Rattus norvegicus: one gene and its partners. The protein of the gene in region 7 interacts with the protein of the main gene of each other region in a pairwise test. Links are inferred from orthologs where the notes say so. Each region holds a gene or a part of one and is shown on either strand. Other genes may lie near its edges.

The links.
Region 1: the proteins of Zmynd19 (region 7) and Tnfaip1 interact in binary tests that used the Homo sapiens proteins (3 or more experiments, as listed by UniProt). The two-hybrid records come from large-scale screens. The link is inferred for Rattus norvegicus from reciprocal best matches to the Homo sapiens genes ZMYND19 and TNFAIP1.
Region 2: the proteins of Zmynd19 (region 7) and Enox1 interact in binary tests that used the Homo sapiens proteins (3 or more experiments, as listed by UniProt). The two-hybrid records come from large-scale screens. The link is inferred for Rattus norvegicus from reciprocal best matches to the Homo sapiens genes ZMYND19 and ENOX1.
Region 3: the proteins of Zmynd19 (region 7) and Lzts2 interact in binary tests that used the Homo sapiens proteins (3 or more experiments, as listed by UniProt). The two-hybrid records come from large-scale screens. The link is inferred for Rattus norvegicus from reciprocal best matches to the Homo sapiens genes ZMYND19 and LZTS2.
Region 4: the proteins of Zmynd19 (region 7) and Nab2 interact in binary tests that used the Homo sapiens proteins (3 or more experiments, as listed by UniProt). The two-hybrid records come from large-scale screens. The link is inferred for Rattus norvegicus from reciprocal best matches to the Homo sapiens genes ZMYND19 and NAB2.
Region 5: the proteins of Zmynd19 (region 7) and Kctd13 interact in binary tests that used the Homo sapiens proteins (3 or more experiments, as listed by UniProt). The two-hybrid records come from large-scale screens. The link is inferred for Rattus norvegicus from reciprocal best matches to the Homo sapiens genes ZMYND19 and KCTD13.
Region 6: the proteins of Zmynd19 (region 7) and Tox4 interact in binary tests that used the Homo sapiens proteins (3 or more experiments, as listed by UniProt). The two-hybrid records come from large-scale screens. The link is inferred for Rattus norvegicus from reciprocal best matches to the Homo sapiens genes ZMYND19 and TOX4.

The regions. Positions count from the first base shown.
Region 1 is NC_086028.1:63,920,509-63,924,075, reverse strand, and holds part of Tnfaip1 (BTB/POZ domain-containing adapter for CUL3-mediated RhoA degradation protein 2), read left to right. Parts: intron 1-2; 5' UTR 3-116; coding exon 117-321; intron 322-1,608; coding exon 1,609-1,778; intron 1,779-2,159; coding exon 2,160-2,249; intron 2,250-2,328; coding exon 2,329-2,381; intron 2,382-3,134; coding exon 3,135-3,330; intron 3,331-3,567. UniProt on the Homo sapiens protein: Substrate-specific adapter of a BCR (BTB-CUL3-RBX1) E3 ubiquitin-protein ligase complex involved in regulation of cytoskeleton structure.
Region 2 is NC_086033.1:58,926,202-58,930,568, forward strand, and holds the start of Enox1 (ecto-NOX disulfide-thiol exchanger 1), read left to right. Parts: upstream 1-1,538; 5' UTR 1,539-1,772; intron 1,773-4,367. UniProt on the Homo sapiens protein: Probably acts as a terminal oxidase of plasma electron transport from cytosolic NAD(P)H via hydroquinones to acceptors at the cell surface.
Region 3 is NC_086019.1:253,830,929-253,834,944, forward strand, and holds the start of Lzts2 (leucine zipper putative tumor suppressor 2), read left to right. Parts: upstream 1-1,170; 5' UTR 1,171-1,212; coding exon 1,213-1,620; intron 1,621-3,168; coding exon 3,169-3,831; intron 3,832-4,016. UniProt on the Homo sapiens protein: Negative regulator of katanin-mediated microtubule severing and release from the centrosome. Required for central spindle formation and the completion of cytokinesis.
Region 4 is NC_086025.1:65,386,448-65,390,520, forward strand, and holds the start of Nab2 (NGFI-A-binding protein 2), read right to left. Parts: upstream 2,809-4,073; 5' UTR 2,599-2,808; coding exon 2,516-2,598; intron 1,460-2,515; coding exon 586-1,459; intron 226-585; coding exon 92-225; intron 1-91. UniProt on the Homo sapiens protein: Acts as a transcriptional repressor for zinc finger transcription factors EGR1 and EGR2. Isoform 2 lacks repression ability.
Region 5 is NC_086019.1:190,963,690-190,967,936, reverse strand, and holds the start of Kctd13 (BTB/POZ domain-containing adapter for CUL3-mediated RhoA degradation protein 1), read right to left. Parts: upstream 2,865-4,247; 5' UTR 2,688-2,864; coding exon 2,444-2,687; intron 1,112-2,443; coding exon 942-1,111; intron 1-941. UniProt on the Homo sapiens protein: Substrate-specific adapter of a BCR (BTB-CUL3-RBX1) E3 ubiquitin-protein ligase complex required for synaptic transmission.
Region 6 is NC_086033.1:27,461,233-27,465,598, forward strand, and holds the start of Tox4 (TOX high mobility group box family member 4), read left to right. Parts: upstream 1-1,502; 5' UTR 1,503-1,558; coding exon 1,559-1,564; intron 1,565-1,728; coding exon 1,729-1,797; intron 1,798-4,366. Other genes in the region: Rab2b (ras-related protein Rab-2B), read right to left, coding at 824-895, 1,106-1,151. UniProt on the Homo sapiens protein: Transcription factor that modulates cell fate reprogramming from the somatic state to the pluripotent and neuronal fate. In liver, controls the expression of hormone-regulated gluconeogenic genes such as G6PC1 and PCK1.
Region 7 is NC_086021.1:28,159,306-28,162,872, forward strand, and holds part of Zmynd19 (zinc finger MYND domain-containing protein 19), read left to right. Parts: intron 1-121; coding exon 122-262; intron 263-3,567. UniProt on the Homo sapiens protein: May be involved as a regulatory molecule in GPR24/MCH-R1 signaling.

The DNA of each region.
Region 1 (3,567 bases), on a different chromosome or scaffold from region 7:
AGCACTGAGAGTATGAGGCCCTGGCCTCTGCGGGACACTCATTTGTGACCACTTCCACCACGGCAGAGCCTTCCAAGCCTACCTCCTGCCGTGTGGTAATCTACCTGCAGCGGGAGATGTCAGGGGACACCTGTCTGTGCCCAGCCTCAGGAGCCAAGCCCAAGATAAGTGGCTTCAAAGGAGGTGGGCTGGGTAACAAGTACGTGCAGCTCAATGTGGGGGGCTCCCTGCACTACACCACGGTGCGGGCTCTCACCCGGCACGACACAATGCTCAAGGCCATGTTCAGTGGGCGGATGGAAGTGCTGACCGACAAAGAAGGTGAGGCATTGCATCGGGCATGCTGGGTAAGGGAGGGCAGGAAGGGGGCATGCTGGGTAAGGGAGGGCAGGAAGGGGGCATGCTGGATAAGGGAGGGCAGGAAGGGGGCATGCTGGATAAGGGAGGGCAGGAAGGGGGCATGCTGGGTAAGGGAGGGCAGGAAGGGGGCATGCTGGGTAAGGGAGGGCAGGAAGGGGGCATGCTGGGTAAGGGAGGGCAGGAAGGGGCCATGCTGGATAAGGGAGGGCAGGAAGGAGTCATGCTGGGTAAGGGAGAGCAGGAAGGAGGCATGCTGGGTAAGGGAGAGCAGGAAGGGGGCATGCTGGGTAAGGGAGAGCAGGAAGGGGGCATGCTGGGAGGACTCCAGGTTGGGCTTGAGCCCAGGAGATCTAGGATATCTATCTTTTCCTCCTCACTTCATACAAGTTTTTTTTTTTAAAGATTTATTTATTTATTATATATAAGTACACTGTAGCTGTCTTCAGACACACCAGAAGAGGGCATCAGATCTCATTACAGATGGTTGTGAGCCACCATGTGGCTGCTGGGGATTGAACTCAGGATCTCTGGAAGAGCAGTCAGTGCTCTTAACCACTGAGCCATCTCTCCAGCCCCATACAAGTCTTAACAGAGCTTCAGAATTCCTTAAAATTGTACATAAAGTGCTGTATGTTTATGTATCATACTCATGTTGGTTGTGGTTACATCTGTAACCCTAGAACGTGGAGGTGGGAACAGGAGTATCAGAAATTTGAGGCCAGCCTCCACTGCTTAATGAACCTGAAGCCAGCCTGGGCTACATGAAACCTTGTCTTAATAAATAAGTAAATAAATAAATAATAAAATTGAATCTTGGAATCCTGGCACTTGCTTGTAATCCCGGCACTCTGGAGTTTGAGACCGGTCAAGCTCAAACTTGAGGCTAACTGGAATAACGGTGTCGAAGCTGATAGGTGTATTTATATCCAAATAGAACCAGGGCGGGGCCAAAAGGTAAGTAGAGACTGGTTGTTTCTGTATCACCAGAGTGGCGCGAGTAGCCCCGACATTAGACATCCAATCCTCCACAGAGCCCTGAATATAGCAGTTCCCGAACTCAGAATAGGGAAGAGCAGCACTGTCCTGAGACCTAGAGTCTCTGAGCCACTGGGCCTGGGCTCTGGACTCTGCTCGCACACTTCCTTTCCTTGCATCCTGCTGCCTGCCTGCCTCTCTCAGGTGGCCTTTGCCAGCGCTGACACAGCTGGAAACAAACAGTAATCCTGTGGGACCCCTCTAAATCCCTAGGCTGGATCCTCATAGACCGTTGTGGAAAGCACTTTGGCACCATCTTGAATTACCTCCGAGATGACACCGTCACCCTCCCTCAAAGCCGGCAAGAAATCCAGGAATTGATGGCTGAAGCAAAATATTACCTCATTCAAGGGCTGGTGAGCTTGTGCCAGGCCGCCCTGCAGGTATGGGAGTGTCAGGTGATTTGATGAGGGCGGGAGTTGCCCTTCTGGGGACACGAGGCTTGGCTCCTGGGGAGCTGTGTTGGAAATGAGGTTGATGAGTGCAAACCCAATCAGAACAATGGGGAGCTGCCCAGGCCCAGGCCCAGCTGCTAGGGATTCATGCCTGGCAGCCCGAGCCAGCTGTGCCTCTAATTCATTTGCCTACATAGCAGCTTCAGATTTCTGACAGTGAGAATGTCAGTATCTATTTCCAAGAACGTCATGAACTGTCTGGTACCTCCTTACCAGGCAGGGGTGACTGGCAGAGGCCTGGGATGTACCTGGCTAAGCTTGGCTAGCACAAAGTCCTAAAGGCAGCTCTCTGCTCTGTGTGTCACCCAGGACAAGAAAGACTCCTACCAGCCTGTGTGCAACATCCCCATCATCACATCCCTGAGGGAGGAGGACAGGCTCATTGAATCCTCCACAAAGGTACTGGGTACCCTGAGGGTCTTGGCCTGGGGACACCAGGCTCCTGGCCTGACCCTTACGACTTTTCCTTCCCTCACAGCCGGTGGTGAAGCTGCTGTACAACAGGAGCAATAACAAGTACTCGTACACCAGGTATGGCGGGCGCCTTTGCTGGGCCCTGCGAAGGGTGGCAGAGGCAGTTTCAGGGCTGAGCACCCACAGTGGGCACGGCACAACAGACCTGAGGGATGTCACAGGTCCCCAACACACATCATGGGGCTGGGTTTGAAACCACCTTTGGAAAGGGAATGAACAGGTATACGAGGGAGCTCAGGGTAGAGACATTTGGGGTTTATTACATGGCCTGGTTGGGATGTAGATGTTAAAACGTGAAACATGCCTGTGTCATATCAAGAGCATGCCAGGAATTATCATCTCTATTGTCTCAGGTACCAGATGGATCATGACCAACTTTATAATACATATGGCTAGCCAGGATCTTAGAGAGTAAAGAGGGATGCTAGGAAGGTATGAGCTGAGTCCTCTTGGCACATGTGCGTCTCACTGTGCCCTGGTTAGGTAGATCCAGGTGGCTGGGCTTGGTTCTAGACTCTCCTGGTCCCTGATGGACAATACATCACCCCATGGCACTGCCGAAGTCGTAGTGAGGGACCCTTTCTTCCAGGCTTAAGGAGAGGTCACTTCTTTCCCTTAATGCTCTCTGCTGTAACTGAGGGCCAGCTCCAGCTCCACCCCTTTCCCTCACGGGCCCCAGTCCCTGTCTGTCAGCCTTATCTTCATTTCAACACAACAGGAGCAGGGAACAGGGAGCCCAGCCCTTCCCAGCAGCCAGCACCCTTGAGCTGGAACCTCATTCTAGGCCTGCTGACCTTCTGGTTTTTTCAGCAACTCTGATGATCACCTACTGAAAAACATTGAACTGTTTGACAAGCTGTCCCTGCGCTTCAATGGTCGCGTGCTCTTCATCAAGGACGTCATCGGTGACGAGATCTGCTGCTGGTCTTTCTATGGCCAGGGTCGTAAGCTGGCAGAAGTGTGCTGCACCTCCATTGTGTATGCCACAGAGAAGAAGCAGACCAAGGTACGTATGGGCGTTACTCTGCCAGGGCACAGATCACACAGACTCCACAATGGAGAACTGCACTGCCCCAGTGTACCCTGCCCACAGCAACAGAAGGGCCACACGTACTTTACCAAATATGGTACGATGGTGCCAGGTAGGACAGAGTCCAGACAGAGTGTTTTGAAGATGGTCAGAAACTGTCAGCAGCTGCTGAGGAAGAAGCCCACTGAGCAGCAAGGAACTTTCTGGTGCTGT
Region 2 (4,367 bases), on a different chromosome or scaffold from region 7:
CGATCCTGCAGTAGCAGCAGAATTAGCAATCCCCAGTGACCTTGTAAAGTATGTACGGGCCAGTGTTTAGCACCTGGTGTTCCTGACAAGAAAAAAGCTGGCTTCTGACCAGCTTCTAGAGACAGACAATCACTTACCATCTCCTTTCCTATCCTTTACTGCAGAAGAGAGTGTGCAAACTGCTAAGTACCTGTGACTCGGTGACTCGGTGACTTGGACATTTTTTGAGAGGTTAGGTGTCCGCAGGAACACAGCACCAAGTTCCTGAGTACTCTTAGCATGAATCTTTTGGTAAATTTGCACAATGGGCCAGTATCCTCTTATTTTCTTTCTTTGCACTGGGGCCCAGGCAGCCAGAGGGGAAAATAGCTGTTCACACAGGGAACTGGCCTAAGTTTAAATCAAGCAAGCCTAGTGGGATGGTAATGACATTTCCAACATCCACGGGTTCTGCCTTCAGGATATGTGAAGCTAGAAAACAATGTCATTCATTCAACATTTATAGAGAGTACACAATGTACAGTGGCACCGTGCAAGTACTGTAGGGCAGGCAAAAAAGTGCAAAACCTAACCCCCTCATGAGGGTTCCTGCCAGGAAGAGCATGTCAACTGTAACACAGACCTTGCACTTTTGGGAAGAATTCTTGGGTGAATAAAGTCTGCTTACTTAAGATAAGCATGGAAAAATATACCAACAGCTCCATGTACCTTTTAGGAATAGGACAGGTAAGTGGGGATTTAACCATATTTTCTAAGGTGTTAGTGCGCTAGGAGATTAAGGTGTTCTCAGCTTACTTTGCATTACTTGTATATCTGGACAGTTGGTAGAATCTTAACGAAGAGAAGGCCAGCACTTCTATGTGAAAGTGGTTAACTTTGAGGGAAAGTGGCTTCCAAGGAAAACAAAAAGGTAACATTTTCATCTAACTTGATCCCAACCACCACTGAGGTACACCCTCTGTGCCCAGGTTCAACCTTAGCGCCAGGTTGAGCAGTGCACCTCAGTATCCTGGAGTCTACTGCAAGTACATAGTTCCCTGCATCCTGGGTCGCCAGCCTGGCGCCTTCAAGGTCGCCATGGTAACCATGGGGTACCAAGACCAGTCCCAGAACGTCCAGCCTAGAAATCCAAACTGGCAGCGGTGGCACGAGCGAGTCACCTCAGCTCCTCCCCCGAGGGGATTGCGCGATCCTCTGCCTTGGGCGCTACTTGTGTAGCATCAGTGGCCGAGCGCTCCGCGGGCCCCAGACCGGCCGGGATCCTGAGCACGAGCGCGCCACGCTGCCTTCTCTTATGGTTTCTCTGCGGGGCCCGCAGCTCCTCCAGGCCAGACAGGCGGCCCATCCTTCCTAGGCTTTACGGATTTCCGGGGGCGACGAATTTTGCCTCGGTCCCTACGAGCATCTCCCGCTTCGCTCCCCCGCCCCTCGCGACTCCCCCCACCCCTGGGCGCGCGCGCGCACACTCACTCACACTCGCAGGCGCGCGTGCGCACGCCCGCGCGCCCCGAGCCGCGGAGTCTCCAGCGCCCCTGAGCAGATCCCACTCTCCCGGGCGCTGCTACTCACACAGGCTTCTAGCCGCCACGGGGCGTCCTCTGTCTGCGGCAGCGGTGGCGGCGCGAGCGGAGGCTGCAGTCTAGCCCGGTCTGGCTGCTCTGCGCCCTGGACAGAGTCCGGCAGAAGCGGGATCGAGAGGAGAAGCCGAGGCGAGGAGGAGCCGCGCCGCGCCCGGCGCTCGCTTGCCTCGAATCCCCGCACCGCGGCCCCAGGTAAGCGGCTCCGCGGCCCGCAGCATCCCCGGGGCGTAGGGACTCGCCGCCTAGGAGGGGTTCCCGGTCCCGCCCCCGAGGCGGCCGGGGAACAAGGGACCTAGGGGAGTGGGCGAGGGGGGAGGGGAGCGGAGCTGGAGGTAAGACTGGAAGGCGGCGGTGTGGGGGAGCCCCCTGCGCCCTTCCCCGACGCTCCCCGGGCTCCCGCACTTTTACGAGCCGGGGGTGCCCGGCGCCCCACACAGATGTTCTCCGTTCTTTTTATCGCTGGCCGGCCAGTGTCTGCTCGGGCTCCGCGCCTACCACGCACCAACCGCCTCCCCTGCACCTTGGACAGCGCATCCCGCCTCTCGCCTTCCAGGGACCGCACCCGGGACCCTGCCCTGCCCGCGCAGCCCTCGGGTTGTTCCCGTCTTTCCACACTGTCCTCCTCCTGTCTTGCATAGCATCTCCCCGCCTTGGCGTTCTCCACTCTGGCGCGGGCCAGAAACTTTCCTCTCTGCCCGATCTGCGCGAGGTACTATTGTTGTTATTTGTGTCTTTCCCTCTCTGCTGGAACTGGACACAAGGACAGGTCTTCCTCTGCGGGCCATTGCCTGCCTTGCCCAGTCCAAGACCGCACTGGGCAGCGGAACTTGGACACCCGACCGGCGCCTCGGCAGCTGGACGCCCGCGGGTTCCCCGCCTTTCTGGACACGTGCACTCCTCCCACGGACCCGGCCCCTCCCGGACCACCCTATGTCCTCCCCCTGCATGGCCACTGCCACCCCATAGGTTGGACACCCGGGATCGCGGGCTCTGATTGGCTGATCATATAACCCCGCCTCCTTGGAGGGGGTGGTTCTGGAGTGTTGTGGTTGTCATCCCGCAGCGAGCACATGGGGGAAGTGGGGTCGACAGGTGGGGAAGCCCAGCTCTGTGGCATAGGCATCCCCATGTATGTAACTGTAGTTCCTTCAGCCTGCACCTTTCGCTTTACTCCCTCTCCTGCAGTCTCCCACTGTTATAACATTAAAATATTTTAAATTTTGTTGAGATTATGTTGTTCAGTGGTAGCGATTTTTAAAAGTAGCTTTAGGAGAATGCCGGAAACGAATGCACAAGAGATTCATGACAAACTGGGCTGCAGATTTGAGTTTGGTTCTTTGGGGGAAGTAATGAAGAGTCATTAAGGGATATGAAGAAGGTGGAGAAAGGAGAAAGGAAATGGATTGATGGCAGAGACGGTTGCTGGTTGCTTATGAACCCAAAGAAGGAAGTGGTGGGTCTTTTGTAGGTTGCGACGTGAAAAAGTCCCTGGGAGCTCTAGTGGGAGGCAGCTGCATTCTGCGGAAGACTGCTCTCTGGAAAAGTAGTAATTTTGTCTACTACTCAGGTCGTGATTAACACACTTTGCTTTTGTTTTGCTAGCGTTGCACTCTTGATAGTAGACTTATAGTAATAATGTCCGCGCACGTAATGGATATTGATTATTCTGCTTTCTTGTAATATGCAGATTTGCTAATGGTAATGAATTTTATCCCTCTAGAGGGAAGCATTAGTTAAAGTGCTTTTGAAATATGGTGAGACAAGACGGATGGGCACTGTGTAAAATCTAGAGACTGTCCTGACATTGTGCAGTGCCATTCCAGAAATCTGTACAAATGACTTTTATTTCTCTTCATTTCAAAGCCTGATTGCCTCTGGCATTTTCGAGCCCTAATTCCTACAGGCTGTTTTGATGTTGTGTCTGAACATCTTAAGAATATTGTAATTCTCATCTTTGTAACCTTGTCAATGCAAAGCAAGCGGCAAGGGATGGAGGGTAATGTTGACAGTTTTATAGTGAGTACACCGTGTGTCATTTCATCTGTAAGCTGGTGAAATATGCAAAAGGAACATGGCAGGGCTGTAATTATCCAGGGACCCAGATCCTAACCAAATGAGAGTCATGCGAGGCTATTCCAGGGAGAGCAATTCAATTATGTTTAAGACGAAAAAAATTTTAAGATTCCTATGTGTAAAGGGTACCACTAGTTGAATGGTCTTTGAACACATTGGTAGCACATGTTAAGTAAAATGGCTCCTTTAATATGTGAGATGATTCAAAGAAGCTGACAAAGCTTCCCAGTTTTTCCATTATATAAATAGGAAGAAGAGCCTTGCTCTCTGGAAGGCTTCACAATCAAGGGACAGGGTTTGACGCATCTGATACATCTGAAGTCATTGCCGTTGCTGAGAAAATGATTCTGACTGTGTTTTTATTTCTCTAGTTCATGCTCTGATTTTCTCACATGGCTTTAGATGCTGGTTGCAGGCCGACGAAATTTATATGTGTGTAGACTGGAAAAGAATGTGTGTGATAGCACAAACATATATGAGTATTGCAAAATAAATATTTATGTTTGCACGCAGTTATAAACTGATACATATAATTTTAGGGTACAGGCAATGCATTTATTCATATATACATTATTGTCGGCCTCAGAAATTTTGCTCATCTCTTCTTGTCCAAAAGGTGGCCCTGTTTTAAACTGTAAAAACATTATCAGCAGTAGAATTGGCCAATAGATCACAGAAACAGACAATAGTATTTTGTTGCCTGGCAACCACCTA
Region 3 (4,016 bases), on a different chromosome or scaffold from region 7:
AGGCCCACTTGTGGTGCATGGCACAACCCTGTTTGTTTTTGTCATGTCCCCCTACATCTCGTGTGTGTGTGTGTGTGTGTGTGTGTGTGTGTGTGTGTGTGCACGAACTATCTGCCTAAACTCATACTGCATATTTTCATGTACGTTTTCACAGATTCTCTTCATTTTTATGGTCCTGTCTATGTACTCACACCACAAGTGTACACATACACACTCTCTCATGGAGGCCTCTGTCCACTTCTTGGCCCCTGAGCTACATGATGACTTCAGCAGATGCCTAAGTCTTGGTCATCGGCAGCCTTGGGACTGGGAGGGAGTTCCGGGTGCAGGCTTGCTATCCTTCCCAGGAAGGAGCAAGACTGAGGATGGGGGGTGGGGGTGGAGCCATCTTCCTTGAGATCCTACCAGATGTGGTAATGGGCTCCTGCTCAAATTCCATAGGAGTTATTCCGAAGATCAACTAAAGCAGGAAGGTTTATAAAGGTTGACAGTGGGACAGGGCCTGTGTAGGCTACCTTAGTCCCAAGTGATGGCAGAAGCTAAGAGTTGACATAGAAACAAGCACAGCCTATATCGACCTCTGGGAAGTAGGAGACCCCAGAGGGCATCTGTGGGTTCCTAAGACCTGTGAGGTTTCCTGTTTGGCCAGCTCCACCCTCAACGCCGCCTGAGTGTCTGGGAGAAACTGAGGCCTAGCAGTGGGAGGCTGGACAGTGCCTGGCTTTGGTTCTTTGTTCCCTAATTACCATCTGAGTTACTGATTGTATCCCTGACTTGTCCTCTGCCCAAATAGCCCAGGAATGAGGCCACCTGTCCCAAGAGAGTAGGGACATGTACTGGGAGCTAGTAGTTAGGGATCTCTGCCCAATCTGAGACTTCGCTATATAGGGGATACAGGTTTGGGCTTAACTGGGTCTCCTCTGTCAAGGAACCCTGCATAACCTCTTAGTTCTCCCATTCTTTCATCTCTGTTTGGTTGAGTTGTTCCTTATCCTTGTTCCAGACTAGAGTTGAGGCCCAGAGGGACTTGAGGTTCATTGCCAGTTCTTGGGAGGTGAAGCTGTTTCACTATATGGGGAATGTTCTATCTGGAAGAGGGGGTCAGGAGAAGGCTAATAGGGGGAGGATCCTCAAGGTGCAGGGACTCTGACGCCAATGCCTTGCTCGCAGGTTGCCCTGGAGGCCCCTGGCCAGGCCTGAACCTCTGCCACCATGGCCATTGTGCACACTCTGCCAGTGCCACTGGAGCCCGCACGTGAGACAGCCACTGCCCCACAAACTCCAGCAATGGGCAGCGTGAGCAGTCTTATCTCAGGCCGGCCCTGTCCTGGGGGACCTGCTCCTCAACGCCACCATGGTGTCCCTGGGCCTACCTTCTTCCGCCAGCAGGATGGGCTGCTCCGGGGTGGCTATGAGGCCCAGGAACCACTCTGCCCAGCTGTGCCACCCAGGAAGACTGTCCCAGGCAACAGCTTTACCTATGTCAATGAGGACTTCCGGACAGAGTCACCTCCCAGCCCAAGCAGTGATGTCGAAGATCCCCGAGAACATCAGGCACACAATGCCCACCTCCGTGGGCCCCCACCAAAGCTCATCCCTGTCTCTGGAAGGCTGGAGAAGGTAACGGGCAGCCCTCTTGGGAGGATCTGGGTGGGGTCGAGCTCCCCGCTGGGGAAGCTAGAATTTGGAGGCATGGACTCTGTCTTATCTCTCTTTCTGGCTCAGGGAGATAACCTGTCTGAGCCCCATTTTCTGTGTCTTTACAGTTAAGGTTAGAGGATAATCTTTATAGGCTCCTGTTAGAATTAATACTCCCAAATGAACAATATAGTAGTTCGTGTTTCTCTCTCTCTCTCTCTCTCTCTCTCTCTCTCTCTCTCTCTCTCTCTCTCTTTTGGTGTTTGAGACAGGGTTTTTCTCTGTAGCTTGACTGTCTTGGAACTCACTATGTAGACCAGGCTGGCCTTGAACTCACAGAGATCTGCTTGCTTCTGCCTCCCAAGTACTGGGATTAAAGGCATTTGTTACCACTTCCAGCCAAGTTGCTTTAGTTATTATAGAGGTGTGTGGTGTGGTATGGTGTGGTGTTGTGTGTGTGTGTGTGTGTGTGTGTGTGTGTGTGTGTGTGTGCGTGCGCGTGCGTGTGTGTGTTTGGGCGAAGCCTTTGTTTACCTTTATTCTGGGACTGACTCTATCCTGTTTTTAGTAGGAGAGGAGGATAATGTTTTGCTTGCGTGGCTATTATCATGATTAAAAATAAGCATTTTGAATTACTTAACATAAGTAGACGTTTAGAAACGGTGCCGCCGGGGTTGGGGATTTAGCTCAGTGGTAGAGCACTTGCCTAGCAAGCACAAGGCCCTGGGTTTGGTCCCCAGCTCCAAAAAGAAAGAGAGAGAGAGAGAGAGAGAGAGAAAGAAAGAAAGAAAGAAACGGTGGGAACCATTGTTTTTCATTTATAGGGGTGAGAACCCTGTATGGGAAAGCCAAGTAGTATGATGATTTTGTAAGATCAAGGTGGGCCAGAGAGATGGCTCAGAGGTTAAGAGCACTGACTGCTCTTCCAGAGGTCCTGAGTTCAAATCCTAGCAACCACATGGTAGCTCACAACCATCTGTAATGGGATCCGATGCCCTCTTCTGGTGTGTCTGAAGACAGTGACAGTGTACTCATACACGTTCCTAAGTTCAGATCCAGTACCCATATAAAAAGGTGGCCGTTGTGGCAAAGGACTGGAATCTCAGCACTTGTCAGGCAGAGACAGGCAGATCCCTGGGGCTTGCTAGCCAGTCAAGACTAGCTGGATTGATGAAATCCAGGTCCAGAGATTGTGTAAAAACTTAGGTGGGAAGTGATTGAGGAAAGCTCCTAACTTTGACACTTTGACATTTGATCTTCACACATAGGCACCACGTATCCATACTCATACATATGCACCCCCCTCTGTGTGTGTGTGTGTGTGTGTGTGTGTGTTTTGAAAGATCAAGTAAGCAAAGTGGGCTTGGTATCACACACCTGTAATCTTGAAGGGCTTGTGTTCAAGGGGATACATAGTGAGTGGACCCAGGCCAATAGAGTAAAACCCTGTCTCACAACAATACTAAATTTTTTAAAAAGAAAGGGGTCGGGCAGATCATCCTCACAGTGTCACATGCTACCTCATTTCAGAATATGGAGAAGATCCTGATCCGACCAACAGCCTTCAAGCCAGTGCTACCCAAACCTCGAGGGGCGCCATCCCTACCTGGCTTCCTTGGTCCTCGAGCTGCTGGGCTATCTGGGAGCCAGGGCAGCCTGACACAGCTGTTTGGGGGGCCAGCCTCTTCCTCCTCCTCTTCCTCTTCCTCCTCTGCTACTGACAAACCCTTGGCACTCAGCGGTTGGGCCAGTGGCTGCCCTTCAGGAACACTGTCAGACTCTGGCCGAAATTCTTTATCAAGCTTGCCCACCTACAGCACCGGAGGTGCCGAGCCAACTGCCAACTCCCCAGGTGGGCACCTGCCCTCCCACGGCCCTGGCCGAGGGCCACTGCCTGGTCCAGCCCGAGGGGTCCCTACTGGGCCCTCCCATTCAGACAGTGGCCGGTCCTCCTCCAGCAAAAGCACAGGTTCCTTGGGGGCTCGTGTAGCTGGGGGGCTCTTGGGCAGTGGGGCCCGGGCCTCCCCTGGCAGCAGTTCGGGTGGAGACCGCTCCCCACCCCCTCCACCACCTCCACCCCCTTCGGATGAGGCCTTGCTACACTGTGTCCTGGAAGGGAAGCTTCGAGACCGAGAGGCAGAGCTGCAGCAGCTGCGGGACAGTGTGGATGAGAGTGAGGCCGCCGTGTGTCAGGTGCGGCCAGTGGCAGTCCTGGGGCGGTGTGGCTGAATACCCAGGGCCTAGGGACAATTCCTGTTGGGGAGGAAGAGGGTAAAGACTCATGATGTGACACCCCCAAGGCTATGAGCATAACCTTCAAAGCAGTGAGGAGGCAAGGTATGTGAATTGGATCCAGCACTGGCTTGTAGGATGTTAGA
Region 4 (4,073 bases), on a different chromosome or scaffold from region 7:
TGGCAAACAGGCCTGGAGCTGCCTGAGTTGCAAGTTGGGAGAGCCAAGTCCTTGGCAGGATTCCAACCTTGGGGAAGGAAGGGGGTCTCACCTGGATCCCTTCAAGGAAGAAAGATAGGTGCTCTCTCGGGCTACTTGGCGGGACAGTGAGAAAAGTTCTACCCTTCGAAGTAAAAGGGTGTTGTCCCTCATGCAGAACTGGGCAGCAGCCTCATTGATGGTCAACTGTGGCAAGAGGACAATCAGTGTGAGTTCTTGGTTCTCCTACTGCTTTTCCCCTTCACCACCAAGGGAGGCCCATCCAAAGAATGCCTGCTTTAAATAATACCCAGGACTTAACTGCCTGAACTTAGAGACTGTCCCTCCCAAGGCCTCCTGTTCCTGGCATGTGAGCAGCACAGGGTTTCGTTGCCATTATTCTTCCCTTAGGTTGAGGGAAGTGAGGCAGCAGCTGGGGTTGGGTATGTGTGGGTGTGTGGAAGGAACTGGGGTGGTCAAGGGGACAGTGATACAGAGGTGGAGGATTCTGAGGCAAGTGAACTGAGCCCAGGAGTGAAGGGCAGTCCTGAAGACCCAGGTACTCACCTCGTGCAAGCTAAGCTGTTTGCCCTCACGCCGTTTGGAATCCAAGCGGCCATAGATGATGCTATATTTTCGGATCTCCTCTTCTTTCTGGCTGTCGTTATCATCCATCTCAAAGATGTGCCCCACACTCCGTGCCAGCTTCTTATTCAGCTTCAACAGGGATGTGATCTCTCCAGTGTCACCCCTGGGGAAACTCCGGAAGATCCTCTCCACACTCTCTACCACCATTCGCACCATCTCTGGTTCCAGGCGGTCTGGACCACCCCCTGTGCCACCTGCAGCCACCCCCCCAGCCCCAGTCCCCTCAGGGACTCCTCCCCCTGCAGGGGGGGAGAAAGGGGGAGACCCGGCCTCCTCTTCTCCTCCTGCTCCAACATCAGATTCTGGAGTGCTCTGGCCTGGCCAGATCCGGGGATCCCCTGCACCAGGTCCTCCAGGAAGTGGTGATAGCTTCTCTCCAAGTTCAAGGGGACTCTTGGGGCTAAAGCTTCGAGCACTGCCCGCCTTTTCTCCTGGGCTGCCATGCCCATTGCTCATGCTCCCTTTCCGGGTACCAGCTGTCTCAGAGATCTTGAAAAGTGGGATGCTGGAGACAGGCACAGCAGGCACTGGTTGGCTGAAGAGCCCTGGGTTGGTGGCCCATTCTCTCAGAGCCTTCTGTAGACGTCGGACATGGAGTGGTTTGGTGGCCATGCCCACAAGTGCCATGATTTCCAGGAACTCCTCCTCGCCCGCCTCACACAGCTGCTGTACATCATCCCCTCCCTGCTGGATGAAGGTCTCGTAGTAAGAAAGAAGGTTGGCACGCTGCAGGACCCGGTACAGCTGCAGCTCACCCAGTGTTCGAGGCAGTGCCATGGTTGAGGCACTTGCCCTGAGAAGGAAGGGCAGGAGACAGGCGGTGAGTACAAGTGTCCTGCTGGGTACCAACCAACCCACACTAACAGTTGTCCTCTTTCCTGCCCAGTGCCCAAGGTTGAGAATGGAGCATTGCTCAGTGGCACAAACATCCCATATTAAAGTTAACTTAGAATACTAGGGGCTACTGCTGGCCACTTCACTCCTTGCCCAGGTAGCTGGGAGGGAGGGGTGTGGCCTCTTCCTTGGCCTTTAGGGAACCTGGTAGACCCTTGCTCATGTCCTTAGGTTCCAGGGTTTAAAAGCACTCTTCCTAGAATCTGTCCGAACTTTCTAGGCTGCCCAGTACCCTTCCAGTTACCCCCTCTCCTTTGATTGGTCCTTCTCTTCTGGGAAAGGGGGAGGGAAGCCTTGATTGTTCTGCTCTGGGGCCGTTCTTCCCACACACTCCCACAGGAGCAGCGTCTGTAGGCGAAAACTGCCTGGGGGCTCCCGCCTACTCTCTTCTCCTTGTTTTCCATCCTTATCTTCAAAAGGGAGTGCGAGAGAGACTGAAGGCCTCTTGAGGAAGGGGCTGCATGCGGGGGCTACCCCTCCTCATTCAGTGAATGGTCATTTCATGACAAGGGAGGCCTGAAGCACACCCCCTTCAGGCCCACAGATGCTTAACTCAAAGGAACCACCTTCTCCCAGACCTAGGGGTGGTGCGCTGCCGGCTAATGACACACTAAGACAGCTAAGCTCCCCCACCCCTCACTGTTGACAGATCAAGCTCTGGAGCTCTCCCTGGCGCTGGGGGACAGTCTTTGTAGGGCCTCACGTACCAGGTTATGCCCACTGAGTAAACCTGGAATGGAAAATGAGGCAGTACTCTATCGTAACCAGGCTCATTGGGTCTTTGTTTGCTCCCAGGATCCCCCAATTCGAATACTCACCCCCCCTTTTCTATCAGTCTCCACCTCCCACCTCCCGATTCTCCACGTCCTCTTTTCGACCCCCACCCCCTAGACCCCCATTCGGGAGTCCAACTCCACCCATCTCCACTCCCTGCCACCTCCTTTTGCCCACTAACTTGACTCTGGGTTGTGGGGTCCGGCGGGTGTTATCCGCTCTGCCAGGTGGCTGCTCCGCTGTGGGAGAGGGCGCTCTGTGCATGGACGGCCAGAGATCACCCGTGCCTCCCGTCTCGGTGCCCGGCGCCTGCTGCGCGCTGCTCTTTGCCTGGAGCGCGCGCGGCCCGGGTCCACCGCTGTCCTGGCTCCGTCCCTCCCTCCACGTCTTCTCTCTCGGAGCCTCCGCGCCTCTGTCTGTGCCTCTGCCCCCACCTCCCCGGCTGAGCTTGCCGCCTCTCCGCGCCTCCTCCCCCGCAGGACGCACAGGGAGCGAGGCCCCGCGCTGCGCTGGCTGCCGGGCTGGCGGGAGGAGGGCGTGGGCAGAACCGGGGGCTGGGACCGGAGGCGGTGGGTGGGAGCCCAGGCCTGAGCCTCCGAGAGGCTGCTGCGGAGACTGAGAGGAGGAGACTTGGGGGAAGGTGGGGGGAAGGTGTGGAGCAGGAGGCGGAGGCGGGGACTCAAGAATCGGGCTCCGAGTTGGGGACTGAGGTGACCGAGGCCGAGCTATGGAGGGGGGAGCTTGGGGACCCAACGGGCGGGGCAGGTCGCTCCTTGCCGCCCACGCCGGATGCACAGCCGGCCCTCTCTGCGCCCACGTACCCACGTGAGCGCCCCGCCGGCTACATTCCTACTCCCTGCACCACTCCTACTCCTGTGAGCCGAGAGCGCAGTTTCACAACCACGCACAAGTATACAAAGACACGCGCACGTACGTGCACACGCGTCTAAACAACGACGCGGACGCCCGTTGGCCGCACTCTGGCCGCGCCATGCCGTTAGTTTGAATGTTAGAAGTGATGGGAAAAAAGTTGGAGAGGGGTCCGGGTGTTCGGTTCCTCCTGCTCCGCTCCCGGAGGATGTACCCTTAGGGTAAACTTGTTAGCGCGGGGCTGCGCAGGAATCCCTTCGGTGTTTCAACACCGTTCTCTGGCCTAAAGGTTGTAATATGAAGAGGCGGCTCTCAGAAACCCTGGTCGTAAGTTATACTAGAATCTACTACTTACATGAGCGTTGGTTAGGCACGTCGGGGTTTGGTAGGTAGGACAGGGATGGGGTTACCATGCTTTTTTATTTTCTGATGGTCAGGCCTTACTGCTTGGATTGGACGGCAAAGCCAGGAAAAGGTGGCTGCCTTCTCTGAGGTCATGAATTATTGGATCTCTCTGGACAGTGTAGTGGAAGCTTGGCAAGAGGCTAAGAGTAGTCTACGTGACTGCCCACCACGGAGGACCGCCTTCAAGGAGCCCAACCCCCTCGGTTTCTTCTAGCCCCATCTGGTTCCCATTACACGCCCACGGCTAGGAGGGTTGGGGGGGGTATTGGGCACGTGGGGGTTGTGTAGGCCTTTGGGGAGAGAGGGTGGGGGTGGAAAGCGTGGCGGACTGGCCAGAGGGAGGAAACGTCCCTCTAGTTAGAAACCTCGGCTCCGCCCCTTTGCTCCGCACTTGAGAGTGGCTTGCCCCAGCACGGCGTGGGTAGTGTGGGTCTGGGCGGGTTCTACATTCCAGATTCATTCCA
Region 5 (4,247 bases), on a different chromosome or scaffold from region 7:
AACTTACCACACTGTATTTATTTTTCTGACTTATCTTTTGGAACATGAGAACAGAAAGCTAGAGAATGGAACTGACTGGTTCAAGAGTACTAGGCACCACAGAGCCGGCCTGGATTCCTAGAACCCACACAAGTATAGCAGCACAGGTGGGGAGGCCTGGGAAGCCCCAGCCTTGCTGATGGAGTATGGCTCTACTGTATAACACTTTATTCCAGAAGAGTCTCACTGTTTGAAAAAGCCCTAAAAATAAAAACCCCTGAGGGTTGGAAGATAGGCGTGGGCGTGTGTGTGTGTGTGTGTGTGTGTGTGTGTGTGTGCGCACACACACACACACACACACACACACACGTAATGTAATAAGAAATCGAAAACTTAAATTATATAAATTGAGATTCCCCTGCTGGCCTAGAGAGCTACTTAAGACTTCTGAGCAAGGAGAGAATAGACTGGGGTTCTGTGAGAATGTCATTCAGGGGAGAATGAACACGCTGAACAGGAACAGCTGCAAGCACAGACCAGGTAATTCTTTATGATTTTATATATATAAACATATCGTGTGTGTGTATGCTCTGTCTTCACACGCACCAGAAGAGGAAATCAGATTGAATTACAGATGGTTGTGAGTTACCATGTGGCTGTTGGGAATTGAACTCAGGACCTCTGGAAGATCAGCCAGTGCTTTAACTCCTGAGCCATGTCTTCAGCCCCCACCCCACCCCCAAGCAGGCATTTCTATTGACAATAGCCTGGACACCAGGTAGAACTGACCTTGCCTCAAGCAGCAGGCATGTTGCCGAGGACTATGCTCCCCCCAAATCCCAAAAGCCTAGGGGTCAAATCCAGTCTAAGTGAGGCTCTCTGGGCCATATCTCTCTTCTGTTGCAATAGCTATCTATTGGATAGGAGGACAGGGACCAAGAAGGTGAGGGGGGGACTCTCACCTGCAGCGCCAGCTGACAGTCTTCAATCAGGCCCTGTACCAGGTAGTATCGGGCTTCACCTAGCAGCTCCCCCAGTTCTCTGGTACTCTCAGGCAGTGGCACTGACCCGTCCCGCAGGTAGTTGAGAATTGTACCAAAGTGTCGGCCACTCCGGTCAATCAGCACCCAACCTGGTGGGGTGGGAAAAGGCAAAAGGAAAAATGGTTTGCTGGGGGCACTCGGGCTAATACATTCTTAGAAAACTGATGGCAAAGCCATAAGAAAACTTATATATGCCTGGTGGTCCACCCCTTAATCTCAGCAGTTAGGAGGCAGAGGCAAGTGGATCTCTGTGAGTTTAAGGCCAGCCTGGTCTACAGAGTGAGTTCCAAGACAGCCAAGGCTACAGGGAGAAATCCTGTGGGGGCAGGGAGGCAACAACAAAGATAAAAAACCCCTAATACTTATCTGTTTTATACCTCTACCATATCCAATGTTTCACACATCTCCAGTGTATCATACATACACCTGCCACAGAGCTCGCTCCCAAATCTGGTGGATGGTCAGAAGGCTCTCAGCACAGGGACGTAAAGTCAGGATCTCATTATGTAGCCCAGACTGAGCATGAGCACTATAGTATAGGCAGGTGCCACCAAGCCCAGCTTACCACGGAGAAATTCTCACCAAATTACCTTATGAACACATTTAACCCCTTGTATTAGTTTTAACCATCTCACCTAATGAAAATGTCCACTTTCAATCCTCTAATTCACAACGATAAAGTAGTAACAATATTACTTGGAATACCAAGAACTTACTCTGATTGCATGAAATTTTCTTGCTTACTGATCATCCCTACTCAATGCCCTCCCCAAACCCCCCCCGGGGGGGTGATCAGATCCCTTTACCAAACTTTCTCTAACACTAACTGATGCTTCACAATACTTATCAAATAAGTGGATTTTCATCTTCAGTACCTGAAAGCTGAACTTCACCTGCTAATTGTTTCCTTTCATCTTTGCTAAACCCTTCCCTTTAAAGCTATTCTATAATAAATGGGTTCCCAATTTAAAGGCAACACTCCTAAGGTTCACCTGTCAAGAGCTGCGCCCTTCACTCAGGTCCCTGACAAACCCAGAGCAGCCTTCTCTTTTCACATATATGCATTTATAGATGATTCCTAGAGAGTGCTGGCACTTGAGTTAGAGACAGATCAAATCTTTCAGTTCTCGAGGCTACCTGCTGGCGGTTCTACTGCAGAGAGGCAAACAAAAGGTTGGGCAGTGGGAAGTAAGTGGTAAAGGTGTTTGAAGGGTGCTGCTCGAGTAGGACTGGTTCCTTGGCTTTTAGAACTAAGGGAAGACCCGATAATCGGCAACTGAGCGCTTGGCAGATGTTACTGCTGGAAATAAAGGATTGGGCAAAGAGAGAGATTTTGAATTAGGAAAAGATTAAGATGGGACGAGGGAGTCGGGAATGAACTGGGGGCTGGAGGGCAGCACGTGTACCGGCGGCACGCATACCTCCCGCATCTGTGAGCACTTCCACGCGGCCGCTGAACATGGCCTTGAGCATGGTGTCCTGCCCCGTGAGGGTGCGCAGCGTGGTGTAGTGCAGCGAGCCGCCCACGTTCAGCTTCACATACTTGCTGTTCGGGGTCAGGGGCTTCAGACTGTACGAGGGGGAGCCAGGTTCGACACCTGAGGGGTTAGGGGACTCCAGGCATTCGGCCGCAGCCGCCGCCGGGCCAGAGGCCTCGGCCGACATGCCAGTGAGCGGACGCGGGTGACAGTCGAAGCTCTCTCCGCGCCCCGGACCCGCTCCCTGAGACCCCGCGACTCCTGCGCGGGCGCCCGACCGCTCGGCGCACACGCCCACTCGCCGCCGCTACTCTGCTACGTCCACCAGCCGCCCCATCGCGCGCTCTCTCCACCCGGAAGCTGGCGCGCGGAGCTGCGCAGGCGCGGCCAGGCTGGAGGCCGCGTCTTGGGGGCGGAGCCAAGAGCTGGGGCGTGCGCAGTCGGTGGCGCCGTTGCAGTCCAGCATGCGGTTTTGGGGTATGGTTCTCTGGGGAGAGTCAGGAACCTGGATGGAGAAAGCGTCTAAGGTCCCTTTGCCCCTTGTTTATGTGAACGGAGAGGACCGCAGCCTGTGACGGTTTCAGAAGCGTTTCATTCGCGTGAAAGGAAACAAGCTCAAAGGCTGGAGGTTGAGCATGGTTTCCCTAGCCCAACCCAGTGCACTTGACAGACTGTACGAAGAACAGTCAACAACAACAACAAAAAGAAAGTTCTCCAACGAAGCCTTAGGGTTTCCAGAGGACTCACAGGTTAGAAGGCCTAAGGGAGGAGATGATGAAAAGTAGCGCCTGTGTGGAGGTGGGATGCAGAGTTCCCTGTAGGGAGAAGGGTAGGGACCTGAGCCACATATAACTGATTTTAGCCCTGGAGGCTGAGGAAGGAAGATTATGGGTTCCAGGAGATCCTGGTCTACACAGTCTTAAGTATCTCAAAGCAAAAGGAGGGCCATTAGGCAGGAAGGTGGCCATTACAAGAATAAGACTGGACAAGCTAGGGAAGATCTTAGAATCCCAGCTGTCATGAGTCCTTCCATAGAACCCCCAAAAAGAAGAAAGAAGGTAGAGCACACTGTGAACAAAAGGTCTTTAGTTTTTAAATCACTTTAGAAGCTGATAGCTGAGATATTTAACAGCATGCCCTATTGTCTGGAAGGTTTTGCTTGGATGGAAAACCAAAGTCAACCTGGGCAATGGTGGCTCAGGAAGCAAAAGCAGGTGGCTCTTTGAGTTCAAGGTCAGCCCTAGTCTACATAGACTCTGTGTTGAAAAAATAAAAAGAAAAGGAGAAAAACTCCAAAGTCAGCATTTAAGTTTTAACCCCGTCACCAGCTAACTGGAAGACCTTGGCAAAGCTTCTCTTTCTGGGTCTGGTTGGTTCTTTTACTGCTTGATCAGGGGTGCAAATCTAGTGTTAGCTGTGGAGAGGTAGAGGTGTGGAGAAGCAAAGTGGACTTGTTAGAAGATATTAGAAGTGTGTCTAGTAATGAAGAGACTCTGCCAAAAGGAGTTGCCAGTCCTGCTTCCCCACAGCAAGTATGGCTGTGAAAAGGAAAAAGCAGTTCCTGACTGGAACTTGCACCCTCCTCCCTGAATCTTTGCTGTTGCCAGGAACTTGCCCAGCACCCATAATGAGGCTGCGGTGGTGTCTTGTTCAGCTCAGTTTCACAAAACACCAATTTCAGACAAATTCACACTCTGGCAGGTAAGAACCATAATCATAACCAAACACAAAATGACCAAATATAACC
Region 6 (4,366 bases), on a different chromosome or scaffold from region 7:
TTTAGCTCAGTGGTAGAGCGCTTGCAAGGCCCTGGGTTCGGTCCCTAGCTCCGAAAAAAAGAAAAGGGAAAAAGAAGAAAAAGAAAAAAAAAAAAAAGAAAGAAACTAAAAAAAACAGGCTGAGCACAGTGCTTCATATCTAATCCCAGCATTTAAGATGTAGGGGTAGGAAGATCAAGACTTATTTAAAGTCATTGTCAGATTACCCATGGAGTTCAAAGCCAGTCTCGGGACAAAAATAAACTTAAGAAAGCCCATGAGATGGTACATGCCTGTAATCACAGTGCTTGGAGGCTAACGCAGGAGGATTTCTGGGAGTTCGTGCCGGGTGTGGGTTATATAGTGAATCTGAGGCTAGTATGAACTAAATAGCCAGAATTTGCCTCCAAAAGAAGAAAAGGTGGAGGAAAAAGGAGGTAGAGGTGGAGGAAGAACTGGAAAGATCCTTACATTGGCTTTTACCTCTCCAGTCCTAAAAGGATCGGTCGGTGTTTCCTTTGAAAAGCATGTGAGGCTGGTAGTTAACCACAAACTACGGATGAGTTTAATAAGCATGTTTCTGTGGAATTTTTCCATAAGCATTCAAGTTGCATTTGAAGAAAAAAACCCTACGACTAGTATGTATCTTACACCCATCTCTAAAGTTACCTTTCAATCATTTACTCTCCACTTACCAGCTTTTATCGTTTTTCATATACCATGACTTCAGACAAAGGTAGCGAGAAGTTAACTTTTTATTTAGAATACCGAGACTGTTAGCTTTCTCCTTTCGCAGTTCTGCGAGCTAGCTTTTATCTGTTCTGGGACCAGGAGATAAGCTTACCTATTGTGAGGTCGTGCACAGGCTGGAACCGCTTGTCGGTAAACTGAAGGAGGAGACATGACTTCCCCACACCTGAAAAATAACGGTGTGCATTAGATGCAGGTCACCCAGGAAGCCGCAAGCTCCCAGGAGGGGCACAGGGTCTAAGGGAGGGGCAGAGCCCCGCCCCCGGAGCTCGCCCCGCCCCCTCCACTCAACTCCGCTCGCCCCGCCCCGCCCGCAAGCCGATTTTGGAGGTAGGATCCCCGCCCCAGCCCCGAAGGCGGTCCGTTGGCGGGTTACCTGTGTCTCCGATGATGATGTACTTGAAGAGATAAGCGTAAGTCATGGTCCCGAGGTGTCGGTGTTCCGGGTCCTCCCGATTTCCACAGCCACTTACCTCCGACCTCTCTAGCCGCTCAATCTACGGATCTCCTTATTTGCCTCCACTCCAGCCCTTCTAGCTCAAGCTGCGTCTCTATTGCTCTCCCCAGAAATCTTCGCCGGATCCCGAATCCAGGACACCGCCTCTAGGGCCGCCCCATGCTCTTCTACATGCCATTATCCCACCAAGCTCCAGGGGGCGACAGCGACCTTCGGGCAGCTCGGCTAGCGACTGGTTGCGTCCCTTGACTCGGTCCAATCACCGGAGAGCGACGCTACTCCTTGAGGAAGTGACGCTCTCGGAACTTAGTGGGGGCGGTGGGAGCGATGCGGACGCGGAGTCGCTGAGACGCTGGTGGTGGTGTTGTGAAGATGGAGGTAGGGGCTAAGTCTGGAGGGTTAATGAGGGTTCGTGGCCGACTGGTGGAAGCAGAAGCGAGAATGCTGAGGAGCGAGGGGGGCTCGGGAGTGCTGGGAGGACTGGAGTCTCAGCACGCCCCTACTCCGCTCACTTATCCCCGCGGCTTTCTTTTGGTTTACAGTTTCCCGGAGGAAATGACAATTACCTGACGATCACTGGGCCCTCGCACCCTTTCCTGTCAGGGGCCGAGGTGAGCAAAAGCTGCTGATGCTGGGGCGCCGGAGGGCCTAGGCAGCGGTTGGGGTGGACGGTGAGGTGAGCGCGGGGGCTGGCGGGAGCTGAAGGGGGACAGTGTCCGAGGCTTCGAGCACCTCTAAGGACTGTGGACGGGGGAAGAACGGAAAGCGGCTGTCATCAGAAAACCAGGATGTTGAAAAAACAGCCTATTTCCTTAAAGAGTTTCTCTGTTCCGAGTAGAAAGAACGAATGGAATTGTTCTTTGGTTGGGGTGAAATAATTAACAGTCTTGGGAGACAGCAAGAAAAAAAATTTTTTTCAGTAAAGAAATCAAGATATAGAAAGTAGTTTATCTAGCAGGGATTAACCTCGGACAGTTGTTAATTCTTGAACTCTATGTTGGTCTCTTTCATTTGAAAGGTCTTCTCTGATCGAAGTGGTTAACCTTAACTGACGTGGCTTCTGTTTGCTTTGCTATGGAAGGACCGAGGGAAAGAGATAGCTGCTAGAGAACATAAAAGGAGTAGAGAGCACTTGTTTCCCAGTTTCCTGTTTCTCTTCACAAACTGATTACTTCCCCCTTTGGATTACAGTTGTCAAATGACCATAATAAGAGGGTTTGTTTGTTTTGTTTTGCTTTTTAAAGATGGTGTAAAGTAGAAAATAATGGTTGTCAGAGGTTCTAAGGCCTTCAACAAGGGTCGCCTAAGACCATGGGAAAACATGCTTACTTTATGATTCATAATAGTAGCAAACTTATGGTTATGAAATAGCAACGACAATAATTTTATGGTTGGGGGTCACCACAGCATGAAGAACTGTGGTAAAGGGTCCATGCAGCATTAGGAACGTTGAGAGCCACTTCTCTAAGATATTCTGAAAAACTTTTGGTTGACAGATTCTCCTACTATAAGCATAATAACACTTATTTGGGCAAGCAGTGTATGAAAGTGTATAAAAGGTGCAGTGTGGGGTTGGGGATTTAGCTCAGTGGTAGAGCGCTTGCCTAGCAAGCACAAGGCCCTGGGTTCGGTCCCCAGCTCTGGGGAAAAAAAAAAAAAAAGGTGCAGTGTATGAAATTTTCCCATTTTTTGAGAACTTGAGCCAGGGTCCTTCTTTTGAGGATTATATACTACCCCCCCCAAAGTGCTGTGAATTCATTTGTATGTTTTTTTGCACCAAAAGTAGTTGTCCATTGCCTTTGTGTAGGTTTATCCTATGGTTGAGAGATGATTGACAGTAAGTAATTGCTAGTTTGCTTTTGGGTTGTTTTTGTTGTTGTTGTTTTTTTTTTTTTTTTTTTTTTTTTTATAAAAGACAGTCTTACATAGCTCTGGCTGTCCTGAAACTCACTATATAGGCCAGGCTGACCTCAAACTCAAAGAAATCCTCCTGCTTCTGCCTTTCCAGTAAAGAATTCTTCCCATTCAAAACAGAACTCTTTTCTGGGATTAAAGGTGTGCTCTCCTGGCTGCTGGTTTATTTTTTCAACTTATTATTATTGAATATTTTCCTAAACAAAGGGATGGCACAAATGAATGGCAAAGTTAGAAAAGAAACTGAGTCTTGCACTTGGTGATTTTATTTCGAGTTCCTTCCAAGAGGTCTTCTATGGTCTAATTTCATTGTTTGGAGTGCTGTAAGTCACACTGTCCTTATTTATAGGAAAGTACATTTTAAAAGTAAATACAAGGCTGGGTGTAGTGTTACACATCCATAATTGTAATCCCAGCATTCGGGAGGCAGAAGCATGTGTGTATCTCTTTAAGTTCCAGAATTACATAGAGAGACCATGTCTCCGAAAAGGGAAAAAAAGTGAACACAGCTTTCCAATTTTTCCTACTAGTCTTGTGTCTGAAGTTGATCAAAGACTAACTCCATGAGTGATGGCACTTTTTTTTTTTTTTTTTACAAGTTGCACAAATCATTTATTTTTATAAAGGCAGAGAAGGGAATAGGAAAGTGAGTGATGGCACTTTTAACATCCAGGGACTAGGGAGAGAAGCACTGGCCTACTGTGTGCTGGACCCTTGATCCAGCACTGGCAGAAAAAGGAAGGATTTTCCAGGCTTGTTCCTGCCCTTTGTTTTGTTTTGTTACGGCTTGTGACGTTTCTGTTGAGAAGAGAGGACATGCAGCTGAGTTTTAAGCTCCATTTCAGTAGCCTCCTTTAGGCCTGGACTCTGTTCTTGTTGCTTACAACTTGTCCACCTACTTGTTTCTGCCTCTCAGTGAATTTTTAAACTTTGTTTTCGTTTTGTTTAGGGGGAATTGTTTCACTTGGCTGACAGCAAACTTGCTGTGTGACTAGGCTGGCCTTCATTTGCCTCTCTTCCTGAGTCCTGGGATTAAAATATATACCGCCATGCCTGGCTTTTAACCTCTATGCTAATGAATGTATGGGTTTTGTGTTTCCAGCCTTATTTTGAGCCATCACAGACAAGTTAAAAAATAGATGATCCTTTTAAAGCAATTCTTTCTGAAGAACAGTCATTTTTCAAGTTTGTTTGGTTTTTGTTTTTATATTATCAGAAAGAAAATGCCCCTATGGAGCATAAAATAATAGAAAAAAATTGGCTGTG
Region 7 (3,567 bases):
TTTCTGGTATGCTACTTCAGGATAAGGGCCCAGTTCAGACCGTATGACTGATATTTCTGTGTTTGGACATTGATGCTTGAGGGTCTTGCCCTCAAGAAAAAAAAAAATCTGTCTTCCCTAGGGAACGACACAGGGGAGGTGTGGCTCCCGGGTTTCAGGTGGTACATCTCAATGCTGTGACTGTGGACAATCGCCTGGACAACCTGCAGCTTGTACCATGGGGCTGGCGACCCAAAGCTGAAGAGACCTCCAGCAAACAAAGGTGGGTCTTCCCTAGTCAGCACCTGTACTTGAAGGGTCATTACGTGTTTCTGTGTTACCTGTTTTGTGCTTTTACTATGAGTGCTGCAGGACTTTGATATATGACCCGTCACTGCCCGTGGGTGAGGACTTTGCTTTATGGGAAGAATTTTTCATTTATATTTTGTTTTGGAAACAGGGTCTCTCTATCCCTTGCTGTTTTGGGATTCGTTATGTATACCAGGTCTTGAAATCACAGCAGTCCTCCTTTGCCTCTCCTGTGCTAGGATTAAAGATGCATATATACCTCCATGCTTAGCTAATTTTTTAAAAGATTTATTTTATTTATGTGAGTACACTGTCACTGTCTTCAGACTCACCAGAGGGCATCATATCCCATTGTAGATGGGTGTGAGCCACCATGTGGTTGCTGGGAATTGAACTCAGGACCTCTGGAAGAGCAGTCAGTGCTCTTAACCGCTGAGCCATCTCACCAGCCCAAGAGATATTTTAAAAATGAAATTAAAAATGATTTTTCTTAAAGATTTATTTTATGTATATAAGTACACTGTAGCTGTCTTCAGACACACCAGAAGAGGGCATCAGATCTCATTAGAGATGGTTGTGAGCCACCATGTGGTTGCTGGGAATTGAACTCAGGACCTCTGGAAGAGCAGTCAGTGCTCTTAACCTCTGAGCCACCTCTCCAGCCCCATGCTTAGCTAATTTTTATGATTGATTTTTGGGATTGACTTTGTGATAATATACTGTAGGAATATTTTAGCTGGTGTGGTGGAATGAGAACATACCCAGAACTACAGAGTTCCCTGAGACAGGGTGGGCTTCAGTTCTGTTCCTTTGCTGAACAGCTTTCCCTGAGCATTTGAAGGAGAGGGACAAAGTAGCTTAGGAAGCTGACCTGTGTGGGGGCTTCTCAGTTCCCTGGTCCTGAAGATAGTGCTGAACACACTTTTGTATTCTGGAGGGCCATGTTCCTCCTAACCCTCCTCAACTCATCACAGGGAACTTCATGAAGCCCTGGAGAAGAGCTGGGGGAAATGGTTAGGGAAATTTGAACTCATAGTCCCAAGCCACACGGGCATCATTTACCTGCTTATAGGCCTCCCCTGAGGGCTCCTGGATTTTATGTTTGAGTTAAGTCTTTAAGAAGCCTTCTTTGGCATTTACCACTCCAACAGATGCTTGTATTATTAACAAGGTTGGCATTGTAGATAGCGGATAGATCTTTATAGCGAATGTCTTCAGGTGATGCCCAAGCCCCGTGTGCTGCGGATAGGACATGTGGCATACAGTTCTGAACTTGATGCTTAGTGTTGGTCTCCAGGTCCTCAGAAGACAGTTGCCAGGCTCCTTCACTCTGGCAGAGTGTGAAGGCAGCCCTGTGGGGGTCTCAGGCTTTGTTTTCTACCTGGTGTCAGAGGTTTTGAGTCTTCAGTTCTCTCACCACTCCTGTCTGTCTGTCCATCCTTCCCTACTTGCTTCCTTCCTTCCGTCCTACCCTGAGGTTCGTGTGTCTTAGGCTGGCCTCAACTTGTATAGTTAAGAAGCTGAGATTGACCTTTAACTTCCCATCCTCCTGTGAGGCAGACATCCTATTTAGTAGGGTCTGCTATATTTAATCTTCTGAACACACCTTATGATCATGAGATAGAACTACAGTTAAAGCCTCTTTTCAGAAAAGGGCAGTTACAGTTGTGGGGCTGGAAGGCTGAGGTGTGTGGTCAGGTGGTCCATTACCAGTTTCCTCAGCCACTTTTCAGAGATAAGTTTGGTTGTGGCCATGCCTTTCAGGTAGGTAGTAGTACATACCTCTTACTAGCAGAGGCAGGACCAGATTGGACCAGCATCCATGAGCATGTCTGGTATGCCCATGTAAAAGGAAGAAGAGGCGGGTTGGGGATTTAGCTCAGCGGTAGAGCGCTTGCCTAGCGAGCGCAAGGCCCTGGGTTCGGTCCCCAGCTCCGAAAAAAAAGAAGAAAGGAAAAAAAAGGAAGAAGAGGGAGAATGAATGTGTTTGTGTTAGGAGGGGAGTGCTTGGTACTGTGGGCACATGTGATCAGAAGAGGATGGCCAGTGTCCTGGTTTACTTGTGAGGGAGAGTGGGTTATTCATAAGGCTCAGTTAATTAAGCAGCTCCTGTATAGAAACCAGCCATGCCTCTCCAAAACCCCACACAATCTGCTGCACTCACCTGTGGGCAGTCAGCAGGTTATTAGGGCTGTCATGAGTAGGTTTCTTGCTGTTAATATAAAATACCATGACCAAAAGCAATGTCACAATCCATTGTTGAGAATTAAGAGCAGAAATTCAAGCAGGAAACTGGAAGCAGGAACTAAACCTTAGATCACTTGGCAGTACTGTTGTTTTGGTGTTCTCTCCATAGCTTGCTCGGTTTGCTTTCTTACACAAACCAGACCAAGTCGCCTAAGAGTAATACTGCCCACAGTGATTTGGTTCCTCCTATATTAATCCAGAAAATGCTCCACAGACATATCCTTAGGTCAGTCTGATGGTGGTAATTTCTCAGTTGAAGTTTAGTCTTTTTTTGGGGGGGGGGGGGTTCTTTTTTTCGGAGCTGGGGACCGAACCCAGGGCCTTGTGCTTGCTAGGCAAGCGCTCTACCACTGAGCTAAATCTCCAACCCCTAGTTTAGTCTTTCTAAGTGACTAGTTTTTGACAAGTTGACAAAAGCTAACCAGCACAATTGATCTTTGTTAAACACACACACACACACACACACACACACACACACACACACACACACATACACCACTTTAAGCCATACCCCATTTCTTATCTCCAGGATCTGATATTGTTATCACAGTATAAAACCTAAATTTCAACAGTATATATAAATAACTCAATGTTGAGCGTTTGAGACTTACTCATAATTTCTGTGCTATACAGGGTTTCGCAGCTCTGCCATACACAGCATACCACAACTTATCTTGTAGTCACATGCTAAGTCTGCTCCACTCATGCTTGCTACTTATCCCACAATCCTGACATTTCCAATTTGCTGGTATTTCCAACTGTGGTGTTGCCAAAACCCATTACTAAGTTTCACTGTCCAATTGAGATGCATGCCCCTTCTGGACCACAACTTTGTGCTAAATGAGAGAAAATATTTCCCATAAGGTTTCGCTTCAGTGATACTAGTCTTCTGTTAATCACAACTGAGTCTTCAGCCCCAGTGGGCCAGAACCCACAAATCTTAATTCAGATCTGTCACATGAGCACCTCCCAGTACAAGCTTTGAGGAACGCAGCTTCCCAAGCTAGGCCTCCATCCTCTATGCTTCCTTCA